4 linked regions of the Saccharomyces cerevisiae S288C genome follow. The gene in region 2 interacts genetically with the main gene of each other region. Each region holds a gene or a part of one and is shown on either strand. Other genes may lie near its edges.

Region 1 (4,128 bases), on a different chromosome or scaffold from region 2:
AAGAACAGAAAAAAGCTATGAAAGACCACAAATTCTGGAGAACGCAACCGGTCAAAGATTTCGATGAAAAGGTGGTGGAAGAAGGCCCCATTGATAAGCCAAAGACACCGGAAGATATATCTGACAAGCCACTACCTTTATTGTCTAGCTTCGAATGGTGTAGTATTGATGTGGACAACAAAAAACAGCTTGAAGATGTTTTCGTTCTACTAAATGAAAACTACGTGGAAGACCGCGATGCAGGCTTCAGATTTAACTATACCAAAGAATTCTTCAATTGGGCTTTAAAGAGTCCAGGTTGGAAGAAGGATTGGCATATTGGTGTTCGCGTTAAAGAAACACAGAAATTAGTTGCCTTTATCTCAGCCATACCAGTAACACTTGGTGTTAGAGGTAAACAAGTGCCTAGTGTAGAAATCAATTTCTTGTGCGTTCACAAACAGCTAAGATCGAAGAGATTAACACCTGTTCTAATTAAAGAAATTACGAGACGAGTGAACAAATGTGACATCTGGCATGCATTGTACACGGCAGGTATTGTTTTGCCAGCACCTGTGAGTACGTGTCGTTATACTCATCGTCCCTTGAATTGGAAGAAACTTTATGAAGTAGATTTCACAGGGTTACCAGATGGGCACACAGAGGAGGATATGATTGCTGAGAATGCGTTACCGGCCAAAACAAAGACAGCGGGATTGAGAAAATTAAAGAAGGAAGATATTGACCAAGTTTTTGAGTTGTTCAAAAGATATCAATCCAGGTTCGAACTAATTCAAATTTTCACAAAAGAAGAATTCGAACATAATTTCATTGGTGAAGAATCGTTACCATTGGATAAACAAGTAATTTTCTCATATGTAGTCGAACAGCCCGATGGAAAAATTACAGACTTCTTCTCATTTTACTCATTGCCATTCACAATCCTAAATAACACAAAATATAAGGACCTAGGCATCGGGTACTTGTATTATTATGCCACCGATGCAGATTTCCAATTCAAAGACAGGTTTGATCCAAAAGCTACTAAGGCTTTGAAAACAAGATTGTGTGAATTGATTTATGACGCTTGTATTTTGGCCAAAAACGCTAATATGGATGTTTTTAACGCGTTGACTTCGCAAGATAATACATTGTTCTTGGATGATTTGAAGTTCGGGCCCGGTGACGGGTTCTTGAACTTCTATTTATTTAATTATAGAGCAAAGCCGATTACCGGTGGCTTGAATCCCGACAATAGTAACGACATTAAAAGGCGTAGCAATGTCGGTGTTGTTATGTTGTAGTGGCTGAAAGGACGAGGCGTATATAGTTTTCGTGTACATAGCCGACAGAATTTGACCACATTTAGTTTTTCCGCATAGTCAATTGACGAAGTGAAAAAATAATTAATCCAATGGCTGGCTTTAGAGTGTCAGCCTCCAAAATAAATCCAAAAATAGACAAAGAGAATCACTATAATTACCGCCTTGGAGTCCAAGTTGGCTTGAGAACTCGCATTTATTTTTAGCGACTGAGGTAGCTGAAAAACGCCTACTTTCTCAGAAGGCGGTAGTGAGCATATATAAGTATGTAAGAAAGATCAACTCTTCTGGACTAGATACTCACCGATCTAGTGAAAATATAAACAAACCCAACATATATATAAAATGAAGGCCTGTTCCATATTATTTACCACCTTAATTACTCTAGCCGCTGCTCAAAAAGACTCTGGTTCCTTAGATGGCCAGAACTCTGAAGATAGCTCACAAAAGGAAAGCTCAAACTCTCAAGAGATCACACCTACCACGACAAAGGAAGCCCAAGAAAGCGCATCAACTGTAGTTTCTACCGGAAAAAGCTTAGTACAAACTAGCAACGTCGTCAGCAACACCTATGCTGTGGCTCCAAGTACCACCGTAGTGACGACGGATGCACAAGGCAAAACCACGACACAGTACCTATGGTGGGTGGCCGAAAGCAACTCTGCCGTAAGCACAACTTCAACTGCCTCTGTGCAGCCCACCGGAGAGACGTCAAGCGGAATCACCAACTCCGCATCCTCCTCAACGACATCAACATCAACGGACGGGCCAGTTACTATAGTAACTACCACGAATTCGTTAGGTGAGACTTACACATCTACTGTTTGGTGGCTACCGTCCTCAGCCACAACTGACAACACGGCTTCATCAAGTAAATCATCTTCGGGATCCTCATCAAAACCGGAATCAAGCACCAAGGTAGTAAGCACTATCAAATCAACTTATACCACTACGTCAGGTTCTACAGTAGAGACACTGACCACTACATACAAGTCTACAGTCAACGGTAAGGTAGCGTCCGTAATGTCCAATTCTACCAATGGCGCCTTTGCCGGCACTCACATAGCTTATGGTGCGGGTGCATTCGCCGTTGGTGCCCTTTTGTTATAGAATGTATAATCAGTTCTGTATACCACCACATAGTTCTGCATTTTAATAAAACTCTTTCTTTTTATACACTGTAGGTAACCAATAATATAACTATTGTTATCATCGTGCTTGCGTATTTTTTTTCTTTCGGGTGAAAAACTCCGCAGTATTTCTCGCTCTCCCTGGATAATAAGCTAGAAAAAAAAAATATATATGACAGATGGATGAGTAATCATATTCAATAAGTATTGTCTGGCTTCTGAGACGGCGGTAAGATATCCTTAAGAGTTGCAATGGTCCTTTTACACAAAAGCACACATATATTTCCTACCGATTTTGCCTCTGTTTCACGCGCCTTTTTTAATAGATACCCCAATCCATACTCCCCCCATGTACTATCCATAGACACAATATCAAGGAACGTTGATCAAGAAGGAAATTTGCGCACAACGAGGCTGTTGAAAAAGTCCGGAAAGCTGCCCACATGGGTCAAACCCTTTTTAAGAGGTATAACAGAAACATGGATAATCGAAGTTTCCGTAGTGAACCCCGCTAACTCCACAATGAAAACTTACACTAGGAATCTGGATCACACTGGAATCATGAAGGTTGAAGAATATACTACCTATCAATTTGACAGTGCTACAAGTAGTACGATAGCAGACAGCCGGGTGAAGTTTTCAAGTGGCTTCAATATGGGTATCAAATCTAAGGTAGAGGATTGGTCGCGCACTAAATTTGACGAAAACGTTAAGAAAAGCAGAATGGGCATGGCATTTGTTATCCAAAAACTCGAAGAGGCGAGAAATCCTCAGTTTTGATGTTCCCATTTAAAGATCTTTAAAGATATCACCATGGGCGAGCGAAATTGAGAAAACTAGTGCAGCTCGCATTTGGTCACGTCCTAAAAATTGTAAATAAGCGCTGGTTCAACAAAATTTAATATACACACATATATAATTATTTATTTATAACAGTCATTCTGCTAAACTATACATCAAATGTCACTAATCTTGATATTATGGTCGTCCCTGTATCATATTAGACGAACACACCTGTTTTTGGGCATTTTCCGAATTTTTTTTTCATGCTAGCTAAGTCAGAAGTACTACATTAAAGAATTGAGAACTGACTGCTCCCACCATTCTTGAACTCTCGCTTTAAATTATCTTACTATCTTTTGAGTTCCTTGTAACTATTCTATCCTAACCACCACCTCAAAAAAAAAAAAGTAATAAAAATGTCTTGGGACGACGAAGCTATCAATGGTTCTATGGGTAATGATGACGCCGTTTTGATGGACTCATGGGATGCTGAAATTGGTGATGACGAACCTGTCATGCAATCATGGGATGCAGAAGAGGAAGAAAAGAAGCCTGCCCCAAAGCCAAAAAAAGAACAACCAAAAAAGGTTAAAAAAGGGAAAGAATCCTCCGCTGACAGAGCCCTATTGGATATTGACACATTGGATGAAAAGACACGTAAAGAATTAATCAAAAAGGCTGAAATGGAGTCTGACTTAAACAATGCTGCAGATTTGTTTGCGGGTTTAGGTGTTGCCGAAGAACATCCAAGGGCTCGTGCTTTACAAAAGGAACAAGAGGAACAAGCTCTAAAAAGACCCGCCTTTACCAAGGACACACCTATCGAAACACATCCTTTGTTTAACGCCGAAACAAAGAGAGAGTACCAGGATTTAAGAAAGGCTCTTACTGCTGCTATTACACCAATGAACAAA
Region 2 (5,505 bases):
TATTTCCTTTGCCAATCATCGACCAAATTGTGTAGCATCTCAACCTTCTCTTCCAGAACCTGGATTCTTGTTGTTCTGCGTTCCCTATATGCTCTTTGCGCATCTCTATTTTGCCTCCTTCGCTTTTCCACGCTATCGACACCGTTTTCATCACCACTTCCGTTGCCTTCATCATCAGATTTCCCCTCATGACCTTTTGCGCCTTCGTTCTCATGATCTTTTGTGGTCATTTGGTCTTTCTGGTTGGAAGTTTGAACCTTCTTTATCTTGGACGATCCATCATTATTAGCTGATGCATCCCCGCGCTTGGATTTCGGTTTGCGGCCCGGTTTTAGGCGCTGTGGTAACTCCCAATTCTTGGATAACTTAATAGCTGACGGTCCTGATGTACTCACATTTCCATCTGGTGAGGATGGAGGTGGAGACGTCGTAGACATGGAACCCTGTTTATGCCCCAATTTGAAGCCTTTGGGCTTTACGCTAACTGCTACTACAGACCTTCGTTGTCTCATGATCCATTGAAAGTGTGCGTAAATGACAAAATTTTGTGCCTTTCTATATTCTTTAATTGATGATTTACTTCCTTGATAACGGCTCAACAAACGAAGAGCAATTTTCAAATTTCAAAAGAAAAAACCGTTGAAACTGTTCTTGAGCAACTTTCAAGCCTCTTATGATGATGTGCTACAGATTGAAGTACAGGTGAAAAGAGGAATAACCAATAGCCTTGTTTGCTTTCTACGGTGGGGCAGCGGATTTTCTCTTTTATGCTTATGCTTCTTCTTCCATATATTACTAATTTTTCTCGAGCGAGCAGCTTTACTGCGTGCATTACCGATGAAAAAAATCGCCGATATATGAAAATCCAGCTCATAAGATGCTGATTAAGGAGTCATGAGTGAAAGGACCCTCGTGGCCATCACAAAAAAGACACTTTGCTCCTGTATAAAAAAAAAAATAAGGCGGTAGTTTAGATAGGGTGTCTATTATATACATGCATAATAATTTAGTTTTGAAGGGTCGCTGGTTTTGCCGTGACGTACGCTTCTCTTTGATCTTTTGCCATTGTTGTCAGAGAAAAGAGAACCGATTGACTTTTTTTTTTTAGTTTTTTTTAGTTTTTTTCTTAGGCTTTGATCTAATATCAATCTTTCTTAATGACAAAAGTCTTCGCAGCTTGATCGGCCGGAATGGGAGGTACAGATTTTGCTTCTTCCTCTTCATCTAGGTTGATATCATCTGGCACATGCTCTCTCGAAGCTCTTTGCTTAGCTTCCTCTTCCTCCTTCTTTATTAGTTCTTCTTGCTCCTTCAAAACGTTCAATTTGAACTCGTTATCGTCGGATGTCTTCTTTTCTTCAGCTTCCGTGGCTTCCGCAGAGTCGGTAGGCTCTGCGTTCTCTTTTTCCTGAGATATTTCCTCTGTCTTCGCTGTTTCTGCCTTTTCATTAACTACGACTAGTTTAGGAGTAACCGCAGAAGCGGTGGTAGCTATAACAGACTCTTTTGCGGTGGCTTCTTCCTTCGGTATAGCAGTTTCCTCGGGTTTTTCTTCCGTCTTTATCTTCTTTTCAGCAACTTGCTTTTCAGCTTCAGTTTCAGCAGCGGATGATTTCGATTCAGATACATCTAGTTTTGCGACGTTGTAAACGGGATCTGGAATGGAACTTAGCACTTGTAATATACCGTCGTAGTACAGATCCAAAAGGTCGTCATATTTGCTTTTTGTTTCTTTTTTTTCAGCTAGTGGCGAGAATGCCTTTGAATAGTTCTCCTTTGGAAGTCCTCCAAACGTGAACGTGGAACTCAAAACCATCAAGACGGATGGGATTTTTTGTCTCAGTCTCAATTCTAGCCAAACTTTTAGATTATCGACCAAGTCCTCCTTGGATACACCGTACGCTTTCATACCACGAGACACACAAGCTTGATACAGCTCTTCTTGCGATAAACTTTCAACGCCTTCGTAGTCAATAGTTTTATCGTCGTTCATTATATCCTTTAGTTTGGAACGAATTTGGTAACGAAGCATGTTATCGTTACCAAATGGCCTTAGTGACATAAACTTCGACATTGCTGCCAATTGTGGTCTTGACAAGTTATCCAAAACGCTATCGTTTTTGAACATTTGCGCAATGGCGCTTATTTCATCGTGTTGGAAAGTCATAATCTTACCTTCCTTGGCAGAATAAAGCTTCCGGAAAAAATTCAAAAATTTTTGCTTCTTCTCTGCATTTTCAATGGTGTTGTAAGTGATCAAATTGGATTCTTCCAAAGTCTCATGCAAGAATTCGGATGTCTTTTTTCTGATCTCGATGAGCTTATTTCTCTTGGCTTGCTTATCCTTGCCGGATTCGTAAGTGGAGGGTAGTAAGTTGGGGAAGAGTTTCAAAGCGAAAGGCAAAAATAGTTCGGCGAATGGAATAATAAGGAACGCTGAAAAAGGGATCAACCTAAACACATCGCCCATTGTCCTCCTCAATTGGTTCCTCTCTCTTCTAGACAACTCGTAACCCTGAGCAAATTTAATCAAAAGCTTAGTAGAAACTTTGATTTCGTAACCCAAAAGTTTCGTCCCATTAGCATAATGTTTCAAGGCGTGCTTCACTTTGACCATAAGCGTCTCCTTGGGCTTGGCAGGAGCATCGGTGGATGTTGGAGCTACGGGCTTCGTAACACTTTTCGACTTATCAGTAGAATAAAATCTCAAAGATAAAGGATAGTTGGGCTGTACTCCTTGCGCTCTCAAAGGCCAATGACACGAGGGAATAGTGGAAGCTATTAATCTAGGGCCTTGATTTTTAACAAAATACAAGCTTGCTTGACGTCTTGTCACACATGACGCTCTTGATGCGAAATTCAACATCTTAGTATATTATCTGTAGTGATAGAGATAGCGTATATTATGCGCTGCCTGAAATGCACTGCGCTGTTCATATTCATCACCGTGGCAATGACTGATCCATTTATTTGGAGATGATTCAACGAATAATTTTTCACCGCGGGATTATCGCCCAAGACGGGGTCGTTTGAGGGTAATACCGTGGCTAGCTTTATGGCTTGTGAAACTATTGCCAGTTATGTGGTTACGTATAATCTACCGTATGTGTGTGTGTATTTATTTATGTAGGTTGCTAATGCTTTGGTGATCGTTTAAAGGAACTTGGACGCAACCCTCCCACGGGTGCCAGGGCTTGAAATCTCTTTCAATGCTGCTATTTTGCGCGACTCTGGGTACACCTTATACCCCTTGTTTCTATGGTTAAACCAATTGAATCTCCAGCAGAGCTCGTGAGCAAATAGCTCGCCGAAGCCGAGCATCATGCCGTTGAGGAAGGGCAAAAGTAGGTTGATGGAGCACGAGCCTACAAAGGATACAAGGCTCTGCACAAGTGGGCTCTCGTCGGCACTCACTGTGTTCTGCACCTCCATACAGTCTTTGTCTTCTGATTCGTCATCTGACACGCTCTCCCAGAATCCCACAACCTCTGTCATATTTCTGTCTTGTGGCAGTTTCGTAAGAAGGGGGGTGATGTTTCTAATATTACAGTGATGTTCTATTGTTCAAGTAAAGTGTATGGCTGTTTCTTATGGCGCGGAATATACCACTTCGTTATAAGTGATTACATCTCGTAACGCATTCCTCTTGTTCAGTGGTAGGGGAGGCCGATGGTAGTGGAATAATACGCTTTTATGGGCCATTGGTATTACTATTTATCTTCGTTATAATAAATAGTACACGTTGCAGACATATTTGGAGGAGAGTTTTTAAAGTACTGTTGGGGTGCTCTTGCTGTGCATTGTAAGTAATCGTGTCCCAGTGGCCGAGTGGTTAAGGCGATGCCCTGCTATTTCCTCAGAAAAGCAATTAGGCATTGGGTTTTACCTGCGCAGGTTCGAATCCTGTCTGTGACGCATTTCTTTTTTGTGAATTCTTGCTTCTTATCCTTCTACAATCCTTTCGTGACATTTATTGAATCATCTCTACAAAATTTTTACACATAGCTAAGGTTAGCTTGTTCTACATTACACAAGTGGTAGCAAAATCGTTTACATTGCACTCAGCTATATCAACATCACGTTCTACCGCAACTAGTAATGAGCTTGCACATTAGTAAACTGATTGAGCAATATCGTTCCACTAAGGACAATGACCTTAAATATATGCTTTTAAGGCAAAACTTTAAAATTAACGACATAGAGGATGAGCTGGCTCCTCTTGTTAACGAATTGCTGCTCCCGGTATTGGTCGAAGAACAAGACATGGAAATTCTCAACCTAGTATCGTTTCAAGTGCTCCCCGATTTAGTTCTTTCTATGATCAGCGACCCTGCAGCTGCTCAGTTGGGATGGGTAATAAGCTTGATATGCGACCCTTTATTAAACCAAAGCATGATACATGCAAATCGTTCTTTTGTTCTGATTGAGACACTAAGAAATGTGTTACAAAAAATTGAAAACTCCCCTCATTTAGATTACCACCAACCAGTAAACAGTTCATTAGAGTTTATCTCCAAATTTATTGTTGAAATGAAAAGGCATATGTGTGATGTGGATGCTGCGCAGCTTTCACATTCACTTTCTGAAAGCAATATGCTAATTTACATAGAATCCCTTAATCTATTGCTAAAATTTAGCTTCTTTTCAGACGCGGCAAGTCCTTCAGTAATGGTCACACTGCCCTTTGATATTTTGAATGACGTTTTTACAATTGCGCAGGACTATTCTGCTACGAATACAAATGAAAGCATTGATAGGATCACAGAAAAATTACTTTTGACTTCTACGCAATTAACTCATCCGGTGGACCTGGAAAATTTATGCCCCAAAATGAAGTACAATACTTTAGCAGCAGTTTCTCGAATATGGTACAAATTTGGCCCCATAGTCGATAAATTATTTACTAACCGGCTATTACCGGTTCTATTCCCCCCGCAAATGGGAGAAGAATGTAACGTCGAAGATGTTCTCGAAATAGTTCATAACTTCCATCCATATTTTTCTATTCGTAGGCTAAAGGATAATAGGCCTCTATTGTCAGATTCGACTATTAGCCAGCTAAGAGAGGGTTTGTTTGGTATGCTCAGCATATTAAACGACTCGCTGACAAGGACGCAAAATGAAAACGACCATGGTAGCGACAATCTGATCGACAGTGACGACGGATTTGGCTCAGACAACGATCCTGAACAACAAGCGTACCTCGATGAACTCGTATCAGAAGGTTATGACGAAAACATGTATGACGGTGATACGGATGACGAAGACGCAGATGATATAAACGTTGAAAAAAATGATGAAGCCACCAAAGACATTACAGAAACGAACAAAATCCTTTTAATCTTTTCTGAGTTACATTATCCTCAGGAGGAGCGCTTCTCTGAACTGTTGGTTGAGTTGCAGACTAAGATCGCTATAAACACATCCTTAATTGATAAAATTCTTTCAAAAGAGACAACAGAATTACCCACTCACAATGGGGAAATCGCAGATTTGAACGAAATT
Region 3 (6,315 bases), on a different chromosome or scaffold from region 2:
AACAAACGGAAAAATCGTTTCTCAAATTTTCTGATGCCAAGAACTCTAACCAGTCTTATCTAAAAATTGCCTTATGATCCGTCTCTCCGGTTACAGCCTGTGTAACTGATTAATCCTGCCTTTCTAATCACCATTCTAATGTTTTAATTAAGGGATTTTGTCTTCATTAACGGCTTTCGCTCATAAAAATGTTATGACGTTTTGCCCGCAGGCGGGAAACCATCCACTTCACGAGACTGATCTCCTCTGCCGGAACACCGGGCATCTCCAACTTATAAGTTGGAGAAATAAGAGAATTTCAGATTGAGAGAATGAAAAAAAAAAAAAAAAAAAAGGCAGAGGAGAGCATAGAAATGGGGTTCACTTTTTGGTAAAGCTATAGCATGCCTATCACATATAAATAGAGTGCCAGTAGCGACTTTTTTCACACTCGAAATACTCTTACTACTGCTCTCTTGTTGTTTTTATCACTTCTTGTTTCTTCTTGGTAAATAGAATATCAAGCTACAAAAAGCATACAATCAACTATCAACTATTAACTATATCGTAATACACAATGTCTATTCCAGAAACTCAAAAAGCCATTATCTTCTACGAATCCAACGGCAAGTTGGAGCATAAGGATATCCCAGTTCCAAAGCCAAAGCCCAACGAATTGTTAATCAACGTCAAGTACTCTGGTGTCTGCCACACCGATTTGCACGCTTGGCATGGTGACTGGCCATTGCCAACTAAGTTACCATTAGTTGGTGGTCACGAAGGTGCCGGTGTCGTTGTCGGCATGGGTGAAAACGTTAAGGGCTGGAAGATCGGTGACTACGCCGGTATCAAATGGTTGAACGGTTCTTGTATGGCCTGTGAATACTGTGAATTGGGTAACGAATCCAACTGTCCTCACGCTGACTTGTCTGGTTACACCCACGACGGTTCTTTCCAAGAATACGCTACCGCTGACGCTGTTCAAGCCGCTCACATTCCTCAAGGTACTGACTTGGCTGAAGTCGCGCCAATCTTGTGTGCTGGTATCACCGTATACAAGGCTTTGAAGTCTGCCAACTTGAGAGCAGGCCACTGGGCGGCCATTTCTGGTGCTGCTGGTGGTCTAGGTTCTTTGGCTGTTCAATATGCTAAGGCGATGGGTTACAGAGTCTTAGGTATTGATGGTGGTCCAGGAAAGGAAGAATTGTTTACCTCGCTCGGTGGTGAAGTATTCATCGACTTCACCAAAGAGAAGGACATTGTTAGCGCAGTCGTTAAGGCTACCAACGGCGGTGCCCACGGTATCATCAATGTTTCCGTTTCCGAAGCCGCTATCGAAGCTTCTACCAGATACTGTAGGGCGAACGGTACTGTTGTCTTGGTTGGTTTGCCAGCCGGTGCAAAGTGCTCCTCTGATGTCTTCAACCACGTTGTCAAGTCTATCTCCATTGTCGGCTCTTACGTGGGGAACAGAGCTGATACCAGAGAAGCCTTAGATTTCTTTGCCAGAGGTCTAGTCAAGTCTCCAATAAAGGTAGTTGGCTTATCCAGTTTACCAGAAATTTACGAAAAGATGGAGAAGGGCCAAATTGCTGGTAGATACGTTGTTGACACTTCTAAATAAGCGGATCTCTTATGTCTTTACGATTTATAGTTTTCATTATCAAGTATGCCTATATTAGTATATAGCATCTTTAGATGACAGTGTTCGAAGTTTCACGAATAAAAGATAATATTCTACTTTTTGCTCCCACCGCGTTTGCTAGCACGAGTGAACACCATCCCTCGCCTGTGAGTTGTACCCATTCCTCTAAACTGTAGACATGGTAGCTTCAGCAGTGTTCGTTATGTACGGCATCCTCCAACAAACAGTCGGTTATAGTTTGTCCTGCTCCTCTGAATCGTCTCCCTCGATATTTCTCATTTTCCTTCGCATGCCAGCATTGAAATGATCGAAGTTCAATGATGAAACGGTAATTCTTCTGTCATTTACTCATCTCATCTCATCAAGTTATATAATTCTATACGGATGTAATTTTTCACTTTTCGTCTTGACGTCCACCCTATAATTTCAATTATTGAACCCTCACAAATGATGCACTGCAATGTACACACCCTCATATAGTTTCTCAGGGCTTGATCAGGGTTCCGTAGATGGGAATTTGAGAAGTATAAGGGAGATAACGGTAATGTTATATTGAGAAAATGAAAGATGAACTCAGTATTGACAGGATCTAAAACCAAAATATAGCGGGCCTATACAGGAAGTAGTATTTGTAAAAGTAAACCATGTTGCTAGTACGAACGACTTCCCTGAATGTGTCAAGGATGCCAGTGCCATGCCTCGCCAGAGGAATAGGCATCCTCAAGGGCAAATATAGACTAGCGAACCTGATGAATGCCCAACCCTCAGTGAGACATGTGTCGAGCGAGATCCAGCAAAAGGATCAGCAGGCAGGAGAGTCAAACACCGCCACCGATACTGGTGTTATTCACAAATCAGATGAAGAAACTCTGATATATTTCGATAATGTTTACGCTAGAACCACCTCGGTTTGGAATCCAACACTGTGGTACAATCTCCTGCTAAGAAACCAGTCACGGGATGCAGTGAGGGAGAAAATAAGGAATTTAGCCAGTCCACCCAATAACCCCATTTATGGACTGGAGTTGAAGTCTACCATTCCAGTGAAAAGGGATGGTGGTGTATTTGCCACATTTGTCGTTCCACCCAAGTATACAAAAGCTCAGGTAAATTCTCTAATCCAACAGAATACAGCCAGAGAATCCTCTAAAAACTTACTCTCGTACTTCACTCGAGCTTCTGCCTTCCCAGTAAAGGGTTCGCCTTGGATTGAGGATTTAAGAAGACTACCAAGTACCACTATAGTCATCAAGTTCCAAGGGCCCGCCTTAACAGAAGAAGAAATATACTCTTTATTCAGAAGATATGGGACAATTATTGATATTTTCCCTCCCACTGCTGCTAACAACAATGTGGCAAAGGTAAGATACCGTTCATTCCGTGGTGCCATTTCTGCCAAGAATTGTGTTTCCGGTATCGAAATTCATAATACCGTCTTACACATACAATACGAAAATATCAGAAGAGGCCATCTAGTTAGTAATTTTTTCACCAACCATACAAGGATTGCTATTCCAGTTTTATTTGCGCTACTTTCAATCTTTGCTGTTTTAGTGTTTGATCCTATAAGAGAATTTTCGATTGAACAGAAGATCACTCACAAATATTCTTTATCGTGGGACAATAAGTTTTGGAAACAACTGAAAACGCTAACCTCATCTACCATGACTTCTATCAAGTACTACTGGGGCGGCCCTGATGATAATCACCAAAGAAAGCATTTATGGGAGGAAAGAATAGAGAAAGTGAATGACCTGAAAATGTGGCTTGAAGAAAATAATAATACTTTTGTGGTTATAAGGGGGCCTAGAGGTTCAGGGAAACATGATTTGGTCATGCAACACACTTTGCAAAATAGAGCAAATGTTTTGTATTTGGATTGTGATAAATTGATTAAGTCCAGAACAGATCCTATGTTTTTAAAAAATGCCGCTAGTCAATTGGGTTATTTCCCAATATTCCCATGGATTGACTCTGTCACAGGTGTCCTTGATTTAACAGTGCAAGGATTAACAGGGCAAAAAACTGGGTTGTCTGAGACGAAGGAATCTCGGTTTAGAAACATGTTAACTACCTCATTGATGTCCATTAGACGTATTGCTCTCAAGAATTACAAGGCTTTTGTTTCCACCGGTGATGGGACAGTTAATGTTAAGGAAGAAGATTACCTACAGCAACATCCGGAAGCTAAACCCGTTATCGTCATAGATAGGTTTGAGGGCAAGTCGGAAATAAATGGATTTGTGTATAAGGAACTATCCGATTGGGCAGCTATGCTAGTTCAAATGAATATTGCTCATGTGATTTTCTTAACGGAAACCGTTGCATCCAACCAAAGATTGAGCGAATCACTACCCAATCAAGTCTTCAAAAACCTAATCCTATCAGATGCCTCAAAAGAGAATTCGAGGAACTATGTATTATCCCAATTGGAGGATTACTTATATTACAATAAAAAATCCAAGGGTGAAAACGTAAAAGAACCTGAATCAGAAAAGGAAACTGCTGAAAATAATGATTCTGATAGTGAGGCCGATACGAGTGTCAAAAAAGCTGAGGTTATTTTAAATGAAAAGGAATTACAGGAAATTGACGCTTCTTTAGAGCCATTGGGTGGTAGGATGTTAGACTTACAGGCATTTGTAAGAAGGGTAAAGTCAGGAGAAGAGCCCTCGGAAGCAGTAGACAAAATGATTGAACAGGCTTCTGAGCAAATAACTCAAATGTTTTTAAGTGACAAGATTGACAGCAATAAAAGTGCACAAGCCTGGGAATTAATCGAATTATTGAGTGCGAACCCAGTCATTCCATTCCATGAAATCGTTAACAAGCCATTATTCAAAGCCGCACCAGAAACGGGAATCATGGAATTGGAGAATAATGGTTTAATAACTGTATCTAGAGATAGGGGTGTTTTACAGGAAATCAGGCCTGCCAAACCGCTATACAGGGCAGCATTCACATACTTGATCAACGATCCTGAACTCGCAAAAGTGCTAAAAACCCGTTACTTATTAAAGGTTGTGGGTTTTGAAACTGGTAGAATCAAGAAATGGGAAGAAGAATTAAAACCTTTGGGGAAAGTTCCTGATCAGAAACTTTTCAAGACCAGATTGGACTATTTATCCGGTAAAATCAATGCCAGTAATGCAGTCATTACCAAATGTGAAGAAGAAATTAAAAACCTATCTAAGTGATGAAACAAAACTTACTATTCTGCTTTTCTGTACATATGTGTAAACCCTATATTGCTATACTCATCTATATTCTTTTGAAAATGTATAAAAGTGACGATTGGAGATGGTGCAATTTTCTACGCAGCATGAAAAATATCTAAGGAAGGTAAGGTACATACCAAGTAAGTCTTATAATATGTTGTTGTACCTCACTTTACCATTCTTAAAGTCTTTAAAAGAAATTACCTTACCCAATTTGCACAGCAAAGGTCACTGACCTATACGTGCCCTTCATCAGATTACATCACGTGAAATTTCACTGGGAAAGAGCGCGAGGGCTTTCCGATGACTTTCTACATTAATAATCGCAAACAAAGCAATCAGCACAGCAAAGAGTACAATTTCGAAAATTGCGACAGAGCAACGTAAGTATATCGTTGTTGATAGATTCCACTCCAACCTGCAAATGCTGCTTCTTCCAAGATGTCCTGTAATTGGGCGAATTGTAAGATCAAAATTTAGATCTGGTCTAATCCGGAACCATTCGCCCGTTATATTTACTGTGTCTAAGTTATCAACCCAGCGGCCTCTGTTATTCAATTCAGCTGTGAATTTATGGAATCAAGCACAAAAGGATATTACGCACAAAAAATCCGTCGAGCAATTCTCGTCGGCTCCAAAAGTGAAGACTCAGGTAAAAAAGACCAGCAAGGCCCCAACCCTCTCGGAACTGAAAATCTTGAAAGATCTATTTCGCTATATTTGGCCCAAAGGCAACAATAAAGTGAGGATAAGGGTACTGATTGCCCTTGGACTGTTGATATCCGCCAAAATTTTAAATGTTCAAGTACCTTTTTTTTTCAAGCAAACTATTGATTCAATGAATATAGCATGGGATGATCCTACAGTCGCCCTTCCGGCAGCGATTGGATTAACCATTCTTTGCTATGGTGTTGCAAGGTTCGGCTCTGTTTTATTCGGCGAACTGAGGAACGCCGTATTTGCCAAAGTGGCACAGAATGCCATTAGAACTGTGTCGCTACAAACTTTCCAGCACCTTATGAAGTTAGATTTGGGATGGCACTTGAGTAGACAAACGGGTGGTCTGACGAGGGCCATGGATAGAGGTACAAAGGGTATATCTCAAGTGTTAACGGCCATGGTATTCCACATTATCCCTATAAGTTTTGAAATATCTGTCGTTTGTGGGATTTTGACGTATCAATTCGGTGCGTCATTTGCCGCAATAACATTCAGTACAATGCTTTTATACTCCATTTTCACTATAAAGACGACCGCATGGAGGACACATTTTAGAAGGGATGCTAACAAGGCCGATAACAAAGCTGCCAGTGTGGCTTTAGATTCTTTAATTAATTTTGAGGCGGTAAAATACTTCAACAATGAAAAATATCTTGCAGATAAGTATAATGGCTCCTTGATGAACTATCGTGACTCTCAAATTAAAGTATCGCAATCTCTAGCATTTTTGAACTCCGGCCAAAATCTAATTTT
Region 4 (4,030 bases), on a different chromosome or scaffold from region 2:
ATGCAAGTTGGTATATCTCGTCATCATTTAACGAATACCTCAACCTCTTCGTTATAAATTGACAAAGGAATTTTAAATCTTCTTCCTTGATTTGATCTCTGGGCAGCTCGTTTTGGAGGATATAGCGTTTACTAACGTCAACAACGCCATCTTTACCGAACGCAATACAGTAACTCATTTTCTTGTTCCAGTTAATTGAATAGATATATGGTTGGTCGAATGATTGCTCACAGGAGTCGACATGAACCCACCTATTCAAAAAATTTGAAAAATATTCACACCAAACATGATCTTCTCTATTCCAGACGTAGCGAACATCTAACCCAAACGACTTCAAAATCAAAGTAAATAAATTGCACCATTCACCGCATCTTCCCTTTCTAGTTTCCAGCAACTTAATTGGATCGTTATAACGAGGAAATCTAGTGATATTTCCGCATCGGTTGCATTTATAGATCTCAACAGTTCCGCAATTGAATTTAGATTCCTCTCCATTGGGCCCTTGACTGCCCAGAGGTGTCATATTTTCTGAAGTGTTCTGGCCACAATGATTACAATCTGGTTTATTGCACCATTTGAAAAAATCTTGTTTGAAGTAGCGAAGCAGCTCCTTTACTAGATAATCCGTGTATATATTTTCCCCCTCTGCATGCCCATCTTTGGCAAATTCCTTATCAACATTTTTATATATTAGATCCAGATCCAATGTCTCCAGGACTATAGAATGCCATGAAGGATTGTCATAGACTGTACAGAGATGTTGACTCTGACCTAGGACTCCTTGTGCGAATTGATTTGTATGGACTAAATTCTGAAACCTTATATTCTCTACAGGTGCAGCTTTCTTGAATTTAGACAGTATGAAATCCTTATACTTAATTAACAACATTTTGGCTATTGAATCAAAATCTATGTTATTTTTTTCGTATACCTCTCCCATTGCTACTCCACCTGTTACCTTCTTCAGGTTGTTTTACGTCTTCTATATCTGTTCCCAACGCATCCTTTTTTCTTCGCTACAATACAAGGAAGATTACACTACGCAAAGTTTCGAAAACATCAAGAAGCATAGAACAGTTGAAACTAGGCAACAGGACTGTTTCAATTACATGATTGAGAATTTATAAGCGCATGAGACCACGTGACCAAGGCTTTTTGGTTTTAGGGTTTACTTACTCGGTACTCCTAATTAGTCTTGCTACATTTTACTGGTTACGCAACAATGACTCTTTCCTGCACTACTGGTGTGTATTACTGCTATGCCCTGCGACTCTCTGGCTGTGGGCCCTCATAGCCTGGTGTGACAGTGAAATGTTCGCAAGTAGTAAAGATGAATAATCGTTTATAATCTTATTTACAAGTCAGTGCATAAAATGATATAATATCACCTCACGCATGCCTATTTTATACATGTACTTTATATACCTCCCTTTTTTTTAACGCATTTCTATTATAAAACACTTCTGCTTTCCTATCCTCAAGATCAGTACTCGATCATCTATCAGGAAAGGAGCCAAGTTAGAAATATTTTCGTTTACTTTAGATTTTGAATGATGCAGATACACGCTTCCCTGGGAAAGTTTTCTTCTGGCTTCTGATACTGAACAATTTACTAGTTTACAAATTAACTTTATTAAGTCAATCTCTCTATCAGCATACTGCAAAATTCTGGCTTTTTTACATAGATCAACTAACTTCGCAGCAGATAAAGTTCCGTCATAACGTCCAAAAATAATATTAGAAAGCGCTTCTGAATCCGATCCGGAGCCAACTCCATATAACATATCTGTGACTTCTTTAGCCAATAAAGTTTGGCCATAACGTAGACTGGGTGATTTGATATGCGTTTCCACAATTTTTTTGATTTCACTTGAGTTTAAAAACGTAAAGATCTTCAAGAACTTGGGTACATCAGCATCCAAAGTATTATAAAAGAACTGGTAAACATCATACGCCGTATTGATTGAGGGGTCAATAAAAACAGCATTGCCTGCACTTTTCCCAAATTTCTCTCCTGTAGCCGTCGTCAACAAGGGCACAGTGATACCAAATGGCAAACCCTTATTCTTTATAGGCTGTATCCTATTGATGAGATCGATACCGGCTGTTATATTTCCCCATTGGTCGTTACCACCTACTTGTATAGTCACATTCTCTTCCTTATACAAATGGTAAAAATCGTACGCTTGTAAAACTTGGTAAGTAAATTCGTTAAATCCCAGACCATTTTTGGTTTGAAGCCTCGAAGAAATTGAATCCCTCGCCAACATAGATTGTACCCGAATGTGCCTACCAAAATCAGCTAAGAAATCCAACATTTTGATGTCTTTCCACCAGTTGAAATTATTCCTTGGTGTATATTTTCCGGAAGGTACATCTTCAGTGAGAGCACATCGGTTTCTGTAATATTCTAGGCCATTTTTGAAAAACCTTTGTAATTGCTGCGAGATGGATGCCACATTGCTTTGCCTAATATCGTTCTCCATAACGTCTCTTTCTGTTTTCCTACCACTTGGGTCCCCAACTTTCCCTGTAGCTCCACCTATCACAGTGACAATGTCGTGACCTTTTACGTAAAAGTGTAATAAAACCATTAGTGGAACTAGATTTCCCAAATGAAGTGACTGAGCTGTGGGATCCACCCCGCAGTATAATTTGATCTTATCGTTACCGTTCAACTTCGTCCGAAGGAAACTCTCTGGCTGTGAGACCTGGGACACTAGACCCCTTTGTTTGAGTTCGTCTAAAATATTATCGCTTCGAGAATCCGATGTGCCCTGTACTTCTAAAGCACTAGGCTGTGAATAAAATCGAGATTTAGGCAATGTTATTGCACTTAGTCCGGAATAAGTCACCAGAGGCACAAGTCTCCTACTACTATTGACCAAATTACTACAACTTCGTAATTCGAGCATGATTCACAATGTCTACCTGTAGATTGCTGTGTTCAATCGGAAACTGGAAATTCTTTCTTAACATTATGAGCCAACCACTTTTTATTTTCTTTTCAAAACTCCCGAACAAGACCAACATTACCAAACAGACTCCACTACTTTTCCATAAGAAGGAAGCACAGAACACCACACAAGATCATATAGCACAAATAGCGCAACAGCTTCAAGTCCAATATTAAGATATAATGCCTCCTCTTCCACAAAATTATGCGCAACAGCAGCCTTCGAATTGGGACAAATTCAAAATGGGGTTGATGATGGGTACTACCGTCGGTGTCTGCACAGGCATCCTATTTGGTGGATTTGCCATCGCAACTCAAGGCCCAGGTCCTGATGGTGTAGTTAGAACACTAGGGAAATACATTGCTGGTTCAGCGGGTACCTTTGGGCTATTTATGTCCATCGGGTCTATAATCAGAAGTGATAGTGAAAGTAGTCCAATGTCCCATCCTAACCTGAACCTACAGCAACAGGCAAGACTGGAAATGTGGAAGCTTCGTGCCAAATACGGTATACGTAAGGACTGAGGGGGAAATTTTGCATATATTTACGCTTCCCCATCGTTTTCTTAAACATTGTTACTTATCTGCTTATTTTTATTTAAGATATCTATCTACCTGTTTATAACTCTCTCAATACCATGTATTTAAGTTCATCACGACGAGGCTTATTTACTTAATATATTTGTATACGTGGGAAATGTCTAATATGTATACCGGTTTGCATCTTATTTTGGGTGGGGTCACTAACGGCAAGACTCATAAAATAAAGTATTCGCTAAGCACTCTGTTATATTTGTAAACTTTGAGAAAGGAAATGGGAACCAAAGCATATAATAGACAATATGTTAAAAAGACGCTCTAATGCTCTCATTACTTTGAGTAGAACTAAATTGTTTCCCATAACAACCGTTGCCTATTACCACAGGCGCCTCCTCAACCAACAACGAAGAGCTGTTTCAACGTCACCGAAGAAAGAAATCAAGAGCCTAGAAGACTTGGCTAATTTGGATTCTTTGGATGGTGTTGATACTGAACTGATACGCGATTTGATTAATGAGCATACTACAAAATTAA

The links.
Region 1: mutations in MDM38 (region 2) and UPS1 together harm fitness more than expected from each alone (negative genetic interaction), as found in Saccharomyces cerevisiae (3 studies listed by BioGRID).
Region 3: mutations in MDM38 (region 2) and YME2 together harm fitness more than expected from each alone (negative genetic interaction), as found in Saccharomyces cerevisiae (4 studies listed by BioGRID, with this or other methods).
Region 4: mutations in MDM38 (region 2) and MGR2 together harm fitness more than expected from each alone (negative genetic interaction), as found in Saccharomyces cerevisiae (3 studies listed by BioGRID).

Annotation. Positions count from the first base shown.
Region 1 is NC_001144.5:539,092-543,219, reverse strand, and holds UPS1 (Ups1p), read left to right. Parts: upstream 1-2,683; coding exon 2,684-3,211; downstream 3,212-4,128. Other genes in the region: glycylpeptide N-tetradecanoyltransferase NMT1, read left to right, coding at 1-1,283; NCW2 (Ncw2p), read left to right, coding at 1,647-2,411; HCR1 (translation initiation factor eIF3 core subunit j), read left to right, coding at 3,631-4,128. UniProt on the Saccharomyces cerevisiae protein: Required for maintenance of normal mitochondrial morphology. Required for PCP1-dependent processing of MGM1.
Region 2 is NC_001147.6:270,859-276,363, forward strand, and holds MDM38 (ribosome-binding protein MDM38), read right to left. Parts: upstream 2,867-5,505; coding exon 1,145-2,866; downstream 1-1,144. Other genes in the region: YAP7 (Yap7p), read right to left, coding at 1-512; MIM1 (Mim1p), read right to left, coding at 3,154-3,495; LAG2 (Lag2p), read left to right, coding at 4,099-5,505.
Region 3 is NC_001145.3:868,579-874,893, reverse strand, and holds YME2 (Yme2p), read left to right. Parts: upstream 1-2,268; coding exon 2,269-4,821; downstream 4,822-6,315. Other genes in the region: alcohol dehydrogenase ADH2, read left to right, coding at 557-1,603; ATP-binding cassette Fe/S cluster precursor transporter ATM1, read left to right, coding at 5,267-6,315. UniProt on the Saccharomyces cerevisiae protein: Plays a role in maintaining the mitochondrial genome and in controlling the mtDNA escape. Involved in the regulation of mtDNA nucleotide structure and number. May have a dispensable role in early maturation of pre-rRNA.
Region 4 is NC_001148.4:363,837-367,866, reverse strand, and holds MGR2 (Mgr2p), read left to right. Parts: upstream 1-3,139; coding exon 3,140-3,481; downstream 3,482-4,030. Other genes in the region: PNG1 (peptide-N4-(N-acetyl-beta-glucosaminyl)asparagine amidase), read right to left, coding at 1-940; ERI1 (Eri1p), read left to right, coding at 1,132-1,338; tyrosine--tRNA ligase MSY1, read right to left, coding at 1,437-2,915; INA17 (Ina17p), read left to right, coding at 3,799-4,030. UniProt on the Saccharomyces cerevisiae protein: Required for cell viability in cells lacking mitochondrial DNA.